Linked DNA regions of Drosophila melanogaster. The protein of the gene in region 1 interacts with the protein of each later gene in a pairwise test. Each region holds a gene or a part of one and is shown on either strand. Other genes may lie near its edges.

Region 1 (6,687 bases):
ACCACATTGCATTGACTGACTGACTGAATCTCGAATGCGCATATTATTAGCCAGCGGAATTAGTCAATAAGCTGTGGTTGCCACCAACCATCGCTAGATGTTTATTGTTTCAGTTTTTTGCCGCTGTTTCTATGGCAGAATTATGAGAATGGCAATTTCAGGGCTCCTCTTAAATCGGCACTAATTAGGCCTGCCTTTTTCATGCCAAAGCCCAATCAATTATAAATTTTCGACGAGCACAGTTTGCACCAATTATGAAATTTCTCTAATGAGCACGAAGGACAATCTGCCCAAATGGCCGAAGCAGAAACAAACAAGAAACTCGAGCATTGAAATTTCCGAAGTTGCGATTTTCCAGCTGATTTAAACTTTAAGGACTCTTTCTTTTGAAATTACCAAACCATCTTCATACCTTATACTATCTTGTAATCTAGCTATCTAGCATGAAAAATCTTAGCTAGTTGCAAGACTAAAAAAAAAAAGACTAATATTAATGTAGTTGGGATTGTAAATATTTGGCACACGTGTGCGGGTGAGCACTTAAAGATTCCGTGTTCCCAAAATAGCCCTTTCCCGGATATTATTTGTTTTATTTGCAAGAAAGGGCGGAGTAAGAGAAGAAGGCCAATTCAACCCAATACCATAGAGTCCAATCCAATTCAATCCAATCCCTTCATTTTTGGAGCCAAACGAACGCAACTCACCTCGTGGGCCTTTGGATGCTGGTGTTGGCAGTTGTGAGCGGTGGCCGAAACGAGGAGCCAAGAGCAGATGCCGAGGGCTGCCAGGAATTTGGCCATGTTACCGTGGGGGCGGAGCGGGGGCGTTTTGGCCATGGTGTTTTACTTCGGGGTGGAATATCGCCGTGGATATTATAGAGTACTCAGCATTGTAGCGGTGATCCTTTTCATTGTCAGGATTAGTGTGATTTTTGTTTAATTATCACTTGACTTCGAACACCCATATCTGCACTTAAAATTCTTTGTTTATTTTCCTCTTTGGTTTGCTTATGTTTGCTGCTTTTCCGCCGTTTGCTTTGTCAATTAACTCGCGAAAACCGGCTCGATTCGAATCCCTTTCCTCTCACTCGCACACATAAACAACTCGCACACACACGTACATACGCACACACAGAGACACTCAATTATTGGGGCCTTTGGACTACTTTTTGTTTTTGTTTTCGGGTGGGTGTGTCCCAATCTCAGCCCACGCCAAAAAAATGTGCATAAAACTACAGCAAACTACAAACTGCAGTTAGCCGCAAAAGGAGGAACAAACTCGCACTTAAATGTCAAATTCTCATGAACTGTCCGTGCAGCGAGAGCATTCTGTAGGACTCACTGCCATACCCGACACAGTGGGCACTCAATAAGCGCATTCGTCGAGCCTTTTCATTCAGCAAAACCATAAAAACACTCGCGCGAAAAGGGGGCGTTTGGGTACCGGCGGGGGTGGTTGGCACGAACAACAAACTTAGAGAGACGCGAGTCGAATCGTCCGACAACGACGTTAACGTTCGCCAGCCGATTTTGTTTTGAATCGAGTCTCTATACATATGCATAAGTACATGGACACAAGGACAGAGTGGCCATTCAACGAAAACGAAAAACGCGTTCTTATGCTTTTCCGAATCTGGTAACACCTCTTATTAGCGCTAAAAAATTACGTTGCCTATCGATATTTCGAATCGACTTTTTTAAAAATCAAGCGTCAAGACATGGATAATTCAATTCTTACTGCTTATGGTCACACCAAAAAGATAACAGAAATGTTACGAGAGATTAGAGTTCAGTGATGGCTAACGTACAAGTGCATCTAACAGGTTGGCATAAAAAACAATAAAAAATACCCTTTACGCTTATTAGATTTTAATATATACTTTCAAAAAAAAACCGCTCTCTAAATTTTATATAAAAATAAAATTTTATTAAAATACCATGACTAAAAATATGTTACTTTGAACCAACTTTTATTTGCCGCCTTAATCTAGTGATGTACGTTTTCATAGAAGAAACGGACGATATATCGAATCAATCGAAGAACGGATGATATCGTTGTAAACATAGATCATTCCCCACCACTATCACATGCACGATTTGTGTACAACCGCGAGTTTGATTAATAATATAATTTAAATCTGATACCGTCAAGAGAAAGTCCCAAAAATGGAGGAAGTTCTCGAGACGATGCAGCTGGAGAACATGCACTGCGATGTGTGCGAGGGTACCACCTTCCAGGAGCGCGAGGGATTCTACTACTGCGTAGAGTGTGGCACACAGAAGGATCAGATTCGTGCAGTGGACATTACCGCCGAGGATAACTTTGATGACACGGCAGCAGGCCGATATACAGCCAGGACGATCCGACAGAAGAAGGATACGGAGAAGGAGGATGAGGACGATATCACCTCGTGGGAATTCTACAACTACGTGCTGCGCGGCTTCCTCCAGGAGCTGCTCAACATGGGCGCCAAGCCGGAGCTCAAACTGATGACCCTGCAAGTGTGGGCGGCTTACTTGGACAGCATGGAGGTGGCCTTCAGCAAGAGCAACAAGACGGGACTGCCTAAACTGAATGTGCGGGCGCTGCCCATGTGGGTTCTTGCATTCTCCTAAAATTTCTTATTTTTAAATTCCGAATTCTTTCAGAGATGCCCGCATCATCTACAACCATAAGACATTCAAGAAAGGCAAAAAGGGCAAGAAGAGCACTCTAACGGGTGACCCAAATGACGAGCGCGCCAAGTTCAGATTGTGGAACAGAACTAAGGTAGTTTATTAGCCGCTGGTAGTCGGTATAAAGGGCAAGAAGAGCACTCTAACGGGTGACCCAAATGACGAGCGCGCCAAGTTCAGATTGTGGAACAGAACTAAGGTAGTTTATTAGCCGCTGGTAGTCGGTATATAGAATTGGTTAGGAAACAGCAGGGGCAGCAGCAGGAAAAGGGTCCGTTGGTAGTCATTATACATGGGTTTTGCTGTATTTATCTCCTGTACTGGATTAGAATCTGTGGCGAATATGTTGGATGAACAATAAGCGTTAGGATTAGTTTATCTAATTACTTTCAGTGACTTCTGGAGCTCCGGGAACAGGTTGTCCGTAGGCCAATGCCAGGATGGCCACGCCAATTAGAACCAGACGCATGGACATATTTGCAACGACACACTTTACCAAATTGCTGCTGACTTGAACACGTTCGTCTTTTATAGCTCCACAAGCTATATAAATGACATAGTTAGCCTATTCATTAGTGATGTTTACTCAGATGCGACTGTAACACCTTGATCCCATTCCTTTTGCAGCGCAATCTAGACGCCTCCGGCTACCGCTCGCACGGAGGAGCTTCAGAGTCCGAAGGGGAGCAGAGTCTCCACCTGCAATGGTCAATGCGTGCACGCAAGTCCTTGAAGCGCCATATGCCGCTGAAGCACCTGGACAAGCATAGCCGCGACAGCAAGGGTAGTATGTCGTGCCACAGCTTGAGACCGAGGGTCAAGCAGCTCCACAATTTTGATCGTAACATCTACTGCCTGAATATTATCAAGTTGTATGTGGTGCTGGGCATAGCCCTTAATATGGTGGAGGATGATATACAGCTATCGGACTTGCTGCGCTTCATTGATGAGGAGCACTTGACCAAGCGGTGCATGCTTAACTATCTGCCCGGAAATGTGGCGGCCAAGGGCAAGGCACTGCTCAAAGATATGGAGCTCAGCAAAATGAAAGACAAGGTTACCAACAAGGTGACTATAATCCATCATTTTCTAACGATAGAAAAATAGAAATATCTATTAATAAAAAGGAACACAACTAATAATTATCTTTATATTCTCCACAGCTTCTGCGTGTAAACATCGCGTGTATGTCACGATTCATAAACTTGTCTGAATATCAAAAACCGAACCTGCACTCCCTAGCGGAGCGATATATTCTGGAGTTGGCACTGCCACCTCGGCTACTGAAGTACGTGAATAGCCTGCTTGACCTGCATCCGCCCACTTTTTTTAACGCCATGACCGTACATCCGTATCCGCGCTATGAGGCCAGGACTATGGCCTACATCCTCTACGCCATGAAGTTGCTCTTCGGCTTGGACGATCTCAAGGAGCGGAATATATCTGAATCGGCCGCTAAAATCAATGAAAAACTGCTGGAAGTCGGCGGAGATGAGGCTCCCTTGCTTTTTGTTTTTACCGAGTGGATGGAGTTTGTGGAGATGAGGAAAGTGATTGTCTCACATTACAACCAAAGTTTTGCCCGTCGCTTCGGGGTATCCACCCGGACTGGTTGTCAGGTGGACGACATACTGGCAAAGGAGTGGAAAGAGAAGGAGCAAGGCGAAACCTTTGGCTGGATGCAGGGATCTGCGGCAATGAAGCGTCAGCATGAAAACCTGACACACATTATTGAAACCATGCTGAAGGACCATTTTGGCGAGTCCAGCAAAGAAAGTATGGAGAAGGAACACATTGAATTCCAGCCCAGCTTGACTCCGGCTCACTCCTACTTCAACAGAATCCTACTCCAAGTATCGCGGTCTGATGGTGCAAAAATGAAAATCACAATTCCTGACCACATGAAAGTGGATCACTCGGCCCGCAACCTGGATCCCTTTGTGCTGGAAACGACCGAGCTGTCGCAGTATTTGTCCCAACATGGCCTTAAACTACGAGTAGAGGAGCTTGCCTGCCAGGAGGACATCCAAAACGTGGGCATATTCCGCCCACTAACAATAATCCGAGGTGACGGTCGAGAATACCGCGCCAACACTGAAATTAAAACCGAGACGTGGATAAGCGAGCTAAAGCGTAAGGAGAAACGGCCGGACTTTCGGTTCACACAGCCCACTGGAACCTATGGAGCCCGATATTTGAAACGTATAACAATGCGCGACGCAAGGCGTGTGCAACTTGAGATAAATAATCCGTTTTGGGATGTTACCGAAACGCCCAGCTTTCTTCTCAAACTCAACGATAACGAGATACCACTTGACAGCCTTAGCTCACTGCAAACCTTCGAGGAAGGGACCATGGATCCATTAAACATCCCTCTAGATCTGCCCCGTCGCAATCTGGAAAAAATTTTGAATCCGGAAGGTTCTGATAGAGCATCAGACCAAGTAGCGAGCGATATCAATGATGAGCCGCCAAGCCCTGAGACGCTGTTATTGCAAGTGTCAAATTTTGATTGCTGGCTTCTACACGGCTATATGAAAAGAATTCGGAGGCATGACAAGCATGAACTGCGTCAGTTGTTCCCCTGTTCCTTCCGTTGGCTCTTGGAGACGTGTGCCAGCACAATAGGCATAGTCTGGGAGGAGCTCTACGAGGAACTGCTCATTGTGGAAGTGATGTACCATCACAGCATCAGGGACTGGAGCAATCATAGGAACTATCTGTGTATTCAACACAATACTCAAGAGAAGGACATCCGAACCCTCGCCAGGACGTACAAGGAGTTATGGTAGTATATTAGAAGTATTAAAAGTTTTGAATTAACAAACAACGATGCCATCTGTATAAAATATAATATTCTTCTACGTAGTGCTCTACCTCAAATGATAGATTTTCTTTTTGTGTATATAACCTGTAGAAATCTTTCAACAGTGATTATGATGCAAATAAATCTGTGTGTTAAGCAGTTACCAAAGTACAAACATGACACACCCACTACGTCAATAGCTTAAGTTCAGGAATTTATGATTTACACACTTATCGAAAGTGATCAATTCATTTAACAAAAATATTCGTTGTCTACCCATACGTTTTCCTATGCCCAAATGTTAAATTTGCATCCATTTTAGATTGAAACGATCTATGTATTAAGGGGCAGTGTTATCTCCTTGGCCGCGACTGTGTGAGCAAAGGCACATTAACATCAATATCAATAGGCAAATTAGCGTTTATCAGAACAACAACAATCACATTAGCAGCAACAATGCGTGTCGCGGTTTTGTTTACAAAAATCTTCTTCAAAAGAGAGCGCCAGGCCCCACGGTCATCACCAACTGGAGAGAGCAAAAAAAGAGCGTGAGAGTACTTGGGGAAACAGAGGAGCTCACTTGGCTTGTTTTTGAACAGTTCTACTTATAAAGTAATTATACCAAATAAACAACAAAATAAAATAAATAAACCAAAAAAAATCACTTACATATATAACAATTTAAAGGGTGTTCAATTGTGATAGTTTATATTTGCTTTAAGTTTAACGTTGTCAACGCTCTCATAGGAGCGATTTCCTTTTAATGTCTTACTAGCTTTGTTTCATATAAAGCAGTTATCTCTGATGATCCTACTTCAAAAATCCGGCGAAAGAGGTGATAAGAATTATCTTATGCTTTTTTTCGATATTCTTGTGATCTTACCTATATTTATAGCTATATCTAGCTAGAAAAGAGGCCACCTCCGCTTGGGAGCAGTGAGAGTGGGTAAAGAAATCATAGGCGCGCATTCGCACGGCGCGTTTCAGTGCTAATTTTAACGTCGTCGCTGACTGTTTCGCCTTATTGCCCTGCTGCGGTTTGAGTTTCCCTATTTTCCACTTTTCCACTGGCCGCGAGCACTGAGTTCGAATTCAATTTAAATTAGTTCCCATTGTGCCTTTGTACGCCTCTTTGCCCGTCCAGCGCAGTGTGATAACCAGAAACCAAAGTGCCTGTGCCCAAGAAGTGCAGTGGAATCGGATGTG
Region 2 (6,196 bases), on another chromosome or scaffold:
CGGCACTCCCAACATAAAATGCTTTGTTTTCGAGCATTAGAGATTCTTGTTATGTTGAGGGTTTGGCAAGATGTCTGAGAGTCTTCTTAGGACTCTTCCCTTCACATTCTTAATTGTTCTTTTTAGTTTTATGCACATTTTAATTAGAAGAACGTGTCAGATGAATCCGTCTAAAATTATACACAAGCGTCATTTTAATTATGAGTAAGGGGTAAAACAAAACAAAACTCTTGCCACATCGCCTGTCAAGAAATGAAGATCAAGACCAGTTGTCAAGAGCTGAAAGAGAAAGATCCGCAACACTTACTAGGTGAATGATCTGCACTGTTTTGAAGACGATGTTTCCTAACATCAGGAACTTTAATTACATATAAAAAGCATACAAAAGAATTAGCATTACTCTCAGTTTTGGTATTAGGTAAAAACTCTGGGTGAGTATGAACACATGTTCAAGGTTAAATACAGCACAATCCTATTCATTTTTCAATTCATACACGATCACAAACTTTTCTTAGCGCACCCCTGTCTGACCCACATTCGTTGACCATTATCACTTCGTTAAAGAGAATAAATCTCTGGACCTTTATTAACCAATTTGTGATAGTGGCATAGGGTATCCCGCGCACCCCCGAACTCAATGAAAATCTTTCGCGCGAAAGTTTCAAATGAAAATCCATTTGCTAGCTGATTTTTGCACTGGCCACGCCAACTTCCTGTTTTTTTCCCCCAGTGCGCGCATTTGAAAAGTGGGAAACACGCAGCAACGATTCCAAACCAAGGACGGTGAAGGGTTTTCCGGGGTAGGAAGGAAGGATGGCGCACACATTTGGCAAAGTGTCGCCAGGCTTGAAAATGAAAATCAACAATGCAATTTGCCATGGCGCCTCGCTCTGCCCCTTAGTTCTAGGTTTCTCTGTTGTTTGTAGCGACTCAAAAGGGAAAAAATTCTGCTAAAAACTTGAAGCGCCAGGCAAAAGTTGGGCCCCAGGAACGCCCTCAGCTTTTGCAGAGATTGCACACAGGCAAATGTGCAGCGAAAGTTGAAAGTAGCAAGGATACAAGAACCAGGCATCAAGGACGCTCTGCCCAAAATAAGTTGCAAGAAATCCATTGTGTTCATTATAATGGAATAATAAACCGGAGTGACTGCGTTCAGATTGGGGTTCTTTCCTTTTCCATTAGCCCCTGAACCATCTCAAATTGATGATATTTTCTTGATGTTCCCACAACCACTTCATGTTTTCACGTTAAAACCCAACAAAGTAATTTGGCAATTCCAATACAAGAAAAATTAAGAAATCTGGCATCAGCCTTGATTAACACCTATCTTAAGACGAAATATAATGTTAGTAAAATTTTCATATTCTCGCAGTCATTAGACATTAATGTGCCAGTCAGTGGGGTTTAAGCCCAAGTATTCGACAAAACTGCTTCTTAGAAGCTTTAGATGGCGTATTTTGGGGAGGGTGCTTCAGATTAATATGCACATACATACATATGTGCATACATACGCCACCTATGTGGCTCACAACAATGCAACAACTTCATTGCCAGAGCAACACGTTGGCACATCCTGTTGCAAAGTCTCATTTCCGCAGGAGTTGTGTTCTACATACCGGATGCCTTTGCAAATGCTAAATGGTTATTGCCGTATGTGCACAATATGTCAGACGTTGCAAATAAATTATATTTGCTTTTATACAACTTGGATACAATTCAAAATTGGGTTATCAGGCTTATCAAGCGCGCACATATCAGCTGTTCCTTGCATTCGGTTGGCAGCCCAGTTATTTAAAGATGAGCTGAACACGAATCGGAACCATACGACAATTCACCGAACTTTAAGGTTATTTTAGTGTGTTCTATTAATCTGAATACAAATTTTTAGTGATGGTTCTTTATTTACCGAAAATTTTTATCCCAATCATCTATATTCTTATTTCATTCAGTTATATGAACAATATAATATATGAACTAGTTCTTTGCGACTGCCTCACCACTGACTGGTTCGCATTCAAAACGGTTCGATTCCAAACAACACGTGCGAAGGAAGGCAATAGGTTTCTTAATATTTTTGGTCGGCATTCTGAAAGAATAATACTTACAACATGCTGGAGGAGATGCAACAAATGAAGACCATTCCAGTGCTGACCAATTCCCGCCCGGAGTTTAAGCAGATACCTAAAAAACTCAGCAGGGTAAATATCAATCTTGTACCTATAGCAAGGTTTCGTGCTAATAGATTTACTTCTATGGCTAGCATTTGGCCAATTTGGGAGGTCCACATGTGGATTCCTTCGACGAGATGCTGACCGTGGGACTGGATAACTCGGCCAAACACATGATCCCGAACCACTGGCTGAGTCCTGCCGGCGAAAAGATTTCAATGAAAGTAGAATCAATATGGATAGCGAAGCCAAAGGTGCCGCAAGATGTGATTGATGTGCGCACCCGAGAGATTTACCCCACGGACTCCAGGCAGCTCCATGTCTCCTACTCGGGAATGTGCTCGGTCCGATTGGGGTGGAGTGTCAATGGAGTGCAAAAGACTCCCATAAACATGGACCTAGGAGAAGTGCCCATCATGTTGCGCTCCAAAGCCTGCAATCTGGGACAGGCTACTCCGGAAGAAATGGTAAAACATGGAGAGCACGACAGCGAGTGGGGGGGCATTTTTGTGATCCGAGGAAATGAGAAGATTGTACGTATGTTGATCATGACCCGGAGGAACCATCCCATATGTGTAAAACGTTCATCCTGGAAGGATCGTGGACAGAATTTTAGCGATTTGGGTATGTTAGTGCAAACGGTCCGTGAGGACGAATCATCCCTGAGCAATGTAGTACATTATTTAAACAATGGAACTGCAAAGTTTATGTTTTCTCACGTCAAGAGACTATCATACGTACCAGTTTGCCTGATCCTCAAGTGCCTAATGGATTATACAGATGAGGAAATATACAACAGATTGGTGCAAGGCTACGAGTCCGACCAGTACTATGTGTCCTGCGTGCAAGCCATGTTGAGGGAAGTTCAAAATGAAAACGTCTATACGCACGCCCAGTGCAAGAGCTTCATTGGCAATCTGTTCCGTGCCCGCTTCCCAGAAGTTCCGGAATGGCAACCGGATGATGATGTCACAGACTTTATTCTTAGGGAGCGAGTAATGATTCACCTGGATACCTATGAGGATAAGTTCCAGTTGATTGTGTTTATGATTCAGAAGCTTTTCCAATGCGCACAGGGCAAGTACAAAGTGGAGAACGTCGACTCAGCTATGATGCAGGAAGTGCTTCTGCCAGGCCATCTCTATCAGAAATACCTAAGTGAGCGAGTCGAATCCTGGGTCTCGCAAGTCCGACGTTGCCTTCAAAAAAAACTGACTTCACCTGATGCCCTAGTTACCAGTGCTGTGATGACGCAGTGCATGCGACAAGCAGGAGGAGTTGGCCGGGCCATAGAGTCGTTTTTAGCAACTGGAAATATTGCGAGTCGCACTGGCCTGGGATTAATGCAAAATAGCGGATTAGTCATTATGGCGGAGAACATTAACAGGATGCGTTACATGTCCCACTTTCGCGCCATCCACCGTGGTTCCTATTTTACAACGATGAGAACCACTGAGGCGCGGCAGCTGCTCCCGGATGCCTGGGGTTTTATTTGTCCAGTGCACACTCCTGATGGCACACCGTGCGGACTGTTAAATCATTTGACTCTAACTTGCGAGATTTCGATGCGTCCCGATCCCAAGTTGGTGAAGGTGGGTACAGCTAATGGTAGACTTTATTAGAAATTTTAACCGATTACTTTTTTTTTCAGGCCATTCCCAAGCATCTTATAGATATGGGCATGATGCCCTTGTCAAACCGAAGATATTTGGGCGAAAAACTTTACGTCGTCTTCCTAGATGGCAAACACTTGGGTCACATTCATCAATCAGAAGCCGAAAAAATAGTTGACGAATTGCGCTACGGGAAGATATTCGGCACCCTTCCCCAGATGATGGAAATCGGCTTTATACCCTTCAAGAAGAACGGTCAGTTTCCAGGGCTTTACATTGCAACGGGTCCTGCCAGGATGATGAGGCCCGTTTGGAACCTAAAGTGGAAAAGGGTGGAGTACATCGGAACACTGGAACAGCTTTATATGGAGATCGCCATCGATGCAAAGGAAATGTATCCTGACTTCACCACTCATTTGGAGTTGGCTAAGACCCACTTCATGAGCAACTTGGCCAACTTGATACCCATGCCGGACTACAATCAATCGCCACGTAACATGTACCAGTGTCAGATGGGAAAACAGACGATGGGAACGCCATGCTTGAATTGGCCTAAGCAAGCGGCCAACAAGTTATACCGCCTTCAGACGCCAGGGACTCCTCTCTTCCGACCAGTACACTACGACAACATCCAGCTGGATGACTTTGCAATGGGCACAAATGCTATTGTAGCTGTCATTTCCTACACGGGCTACGACATGGAAGATGCTATGATCATCAACAAGGCTGCTTATGAACGAGGATTCGCCTATGGAAGTATCTACAAAACAAAGTTTTTGACGTTGGACAAGAAGAGCAGTTACTTCGCAAGGCATCCACACATGCCGGAGTTAATAAAGCATCTTGACACGGATGGTCTTCCACATCCGGGCTCCAAATTGAGCTATGGTTCGCCCCTGTACTGTTACTTTGACGGAGAGGTCGCCACTTATAAAGTTGTGAAAATGGATGAAAAGGAGGATTGCATAGTAGAGAGCATCCGACAGTTGGGAAGCTTCGATTTGTCGCCAAAAAAAATGGTGGCCATCACACTGAGGGTTCCACGACCTGCCACTATTGGAGACAAGTTTGCATCAAGAGCTGGTCAGAAAGGAATTTGCTCACAAAAATATCCTGCAGAGGACTTGCCATTTACGGAATCTGGTTTGATTCCAGACATTGTGTTCAATCCCCACGGCTTCCCCTCCCGAATGACAATCGCCATGATGATAGAAACGATGGCGGGAAAGGGGGCTGCAATCCACGGAAATGTTTACGATGCCACGCCTTTTCGCTTCTCCGAAGAGAATACTGCTATTGACTATTTTGGCAAAATGTTAGAGGCTGGGGGTTACAATTACTACGGAACGGAGAGGCTGTATTCCGGCGTAGATGGCCGCGAGATGACTGCTGACATATTTTTTGGAGTGGTGCATTACCAGCGTCTTCGGCACATGGTGTTTGACAAGTGGCAAGTAAGATCTACGGGAGCGGTGGAAGCTCGGACCCATCAGCCAATTAAGGGCAGAAAACGCGGTGGAGGCGTCAGATTCGGTGAGATGGAACGGGATGCTTTGATCTCTCACGGTGCTGCTTTCCTGCTGCAGGATCGCTTGTTCCACAACTCCGATAAGACGCACACCCTGGTGTGCCACAAGTGCGGCTCCATTCTGGCGCCTCTGCAACGCATTGTTAAGCGAAATGAGACGGGAGGACTCTCTTCTCAGCCAGATACGTGTCGCTTGTGCGGGGATAACAGTTCTGTATCGATGATCGAGATACCATTCTCTTTTAAGTATCTGGTTACCGAATTGAGTTCGGTCAACATTAATGCGAGATTTAAGTTAAATGAAATTTGATTTAAATCTAAAATTATTGTTAGGTCCTATGTTAACCCGTGCGCTAATCGTAATAAAGATAAATACGTAAAATACAACTGTGCTTGCCAAGTGTTTATATCCAGATCGTGGAAACGTTTTAAACACCTTTCAAATGGTTTCAATTTATATTTATTTAAATACATATTGGTTTACGTTTACAGTTAAATTCCTGCACTTGCTATATGTAGTTGTGGCTTGGTTTTCTTGCTCTTGCAGTTGCTTTTGTTTTGTCTGTGAGTGTTAAATGGAATTTGTGTGGAATTTTGTAACATTTAACTATTGCACTTTGGAAATGCCTAAATTTCCAGCTGTCATGCACATTGGTTTTTACGAAAGGATCGAGAGTTTAATGGTAATAAGTATTTGATGTCAGTTTCCATTATCGGTTTTCAGTATCAGTATCTATATAGTGTATATTTTAGTTTACAATTCTTTGTTCTTTATCGGCAGCCGTCTCGCATTTGAAGAGAGTCATTAGCAGATTTATGGCTGGCGGCTACTGCTGCTGCTGCTTCAGATTAGTTAATACTTGGTGCTACAAAGATCGCTTTCTCTT

Evidence for each region.
Region 2: the proteins of TAF1B (region 1) and Polr1B interact in binary tests that used the Drosophila melanogaster proteins (3 or more experiments, as listed by UniProt).

The regions. Positions count from the first base shown.
Region 1 is NT_033777.3:10,139,550-10,146,236, reverse strand, and holds TAF1B (TATA box-binding protein-associated factor RNA polymerase I subunit B), read left to right. Parts: upstream 1-2,052; 5' UTR 2,053-2,165; coding exon 2,166-2,593; intron 2,594-2,648; coding exon 2,649-2,769; exon of another isoform or gene 2,770-2,882; coding exon of another isoform or gene 2,883-3,007; intron 3,008-3,062; coding exon of another isoform or gene 3,063-3,150; exon of another isoform or gene 3,151-3,167; intron 3,168-3,302; coding exon 3,303-3,743; intron 3,744-3,838; coding exon 3,839-5,467; 3' UTR 5,468-6,134; downstream 6,135-6,687. Other genes in the region: invadolysin, read right to left, coding at 705-836; CG42759 (uncharacterized protein), read right to left, coding at 2,883-3,007, 3,063-3,150. UniProt on the Drosophila melanogaster protein: Component of RNA polymerase I core factor complex that acts as a GTF2B/TFIIB-like factor and plays a key role in multiple steps during transcription initiation such as pre-initiation complex (PIC) assembly and postpolymerase recruitment events in polymerase I (Pol I) transcription.
Region 2 is NT_033779.5:402,276-408,471, forward strand, and holds Polr1B (RNA polymerase I subunit B), read left to right. Parts: upstream 1-2,009; 5' UTR 2,010-2,108; coding exon 2,109-2,198; intron 2,199-2,260; coding exon 2,261-3,760; intron 3,761-3,819; coding exon 3,820-5,619; 3' UTR 5,620-5,694; downstream 5,695-6,196. UniProt on the Drosophila melanogaster protein: DNA-dependent RNA polymerase catalyzes the transcription of DNA into RNA using the four ribonucleoside triphosphates as substrates. Second largest core component of RNA polymerase I which synthesizes ribosomal RNA precursors.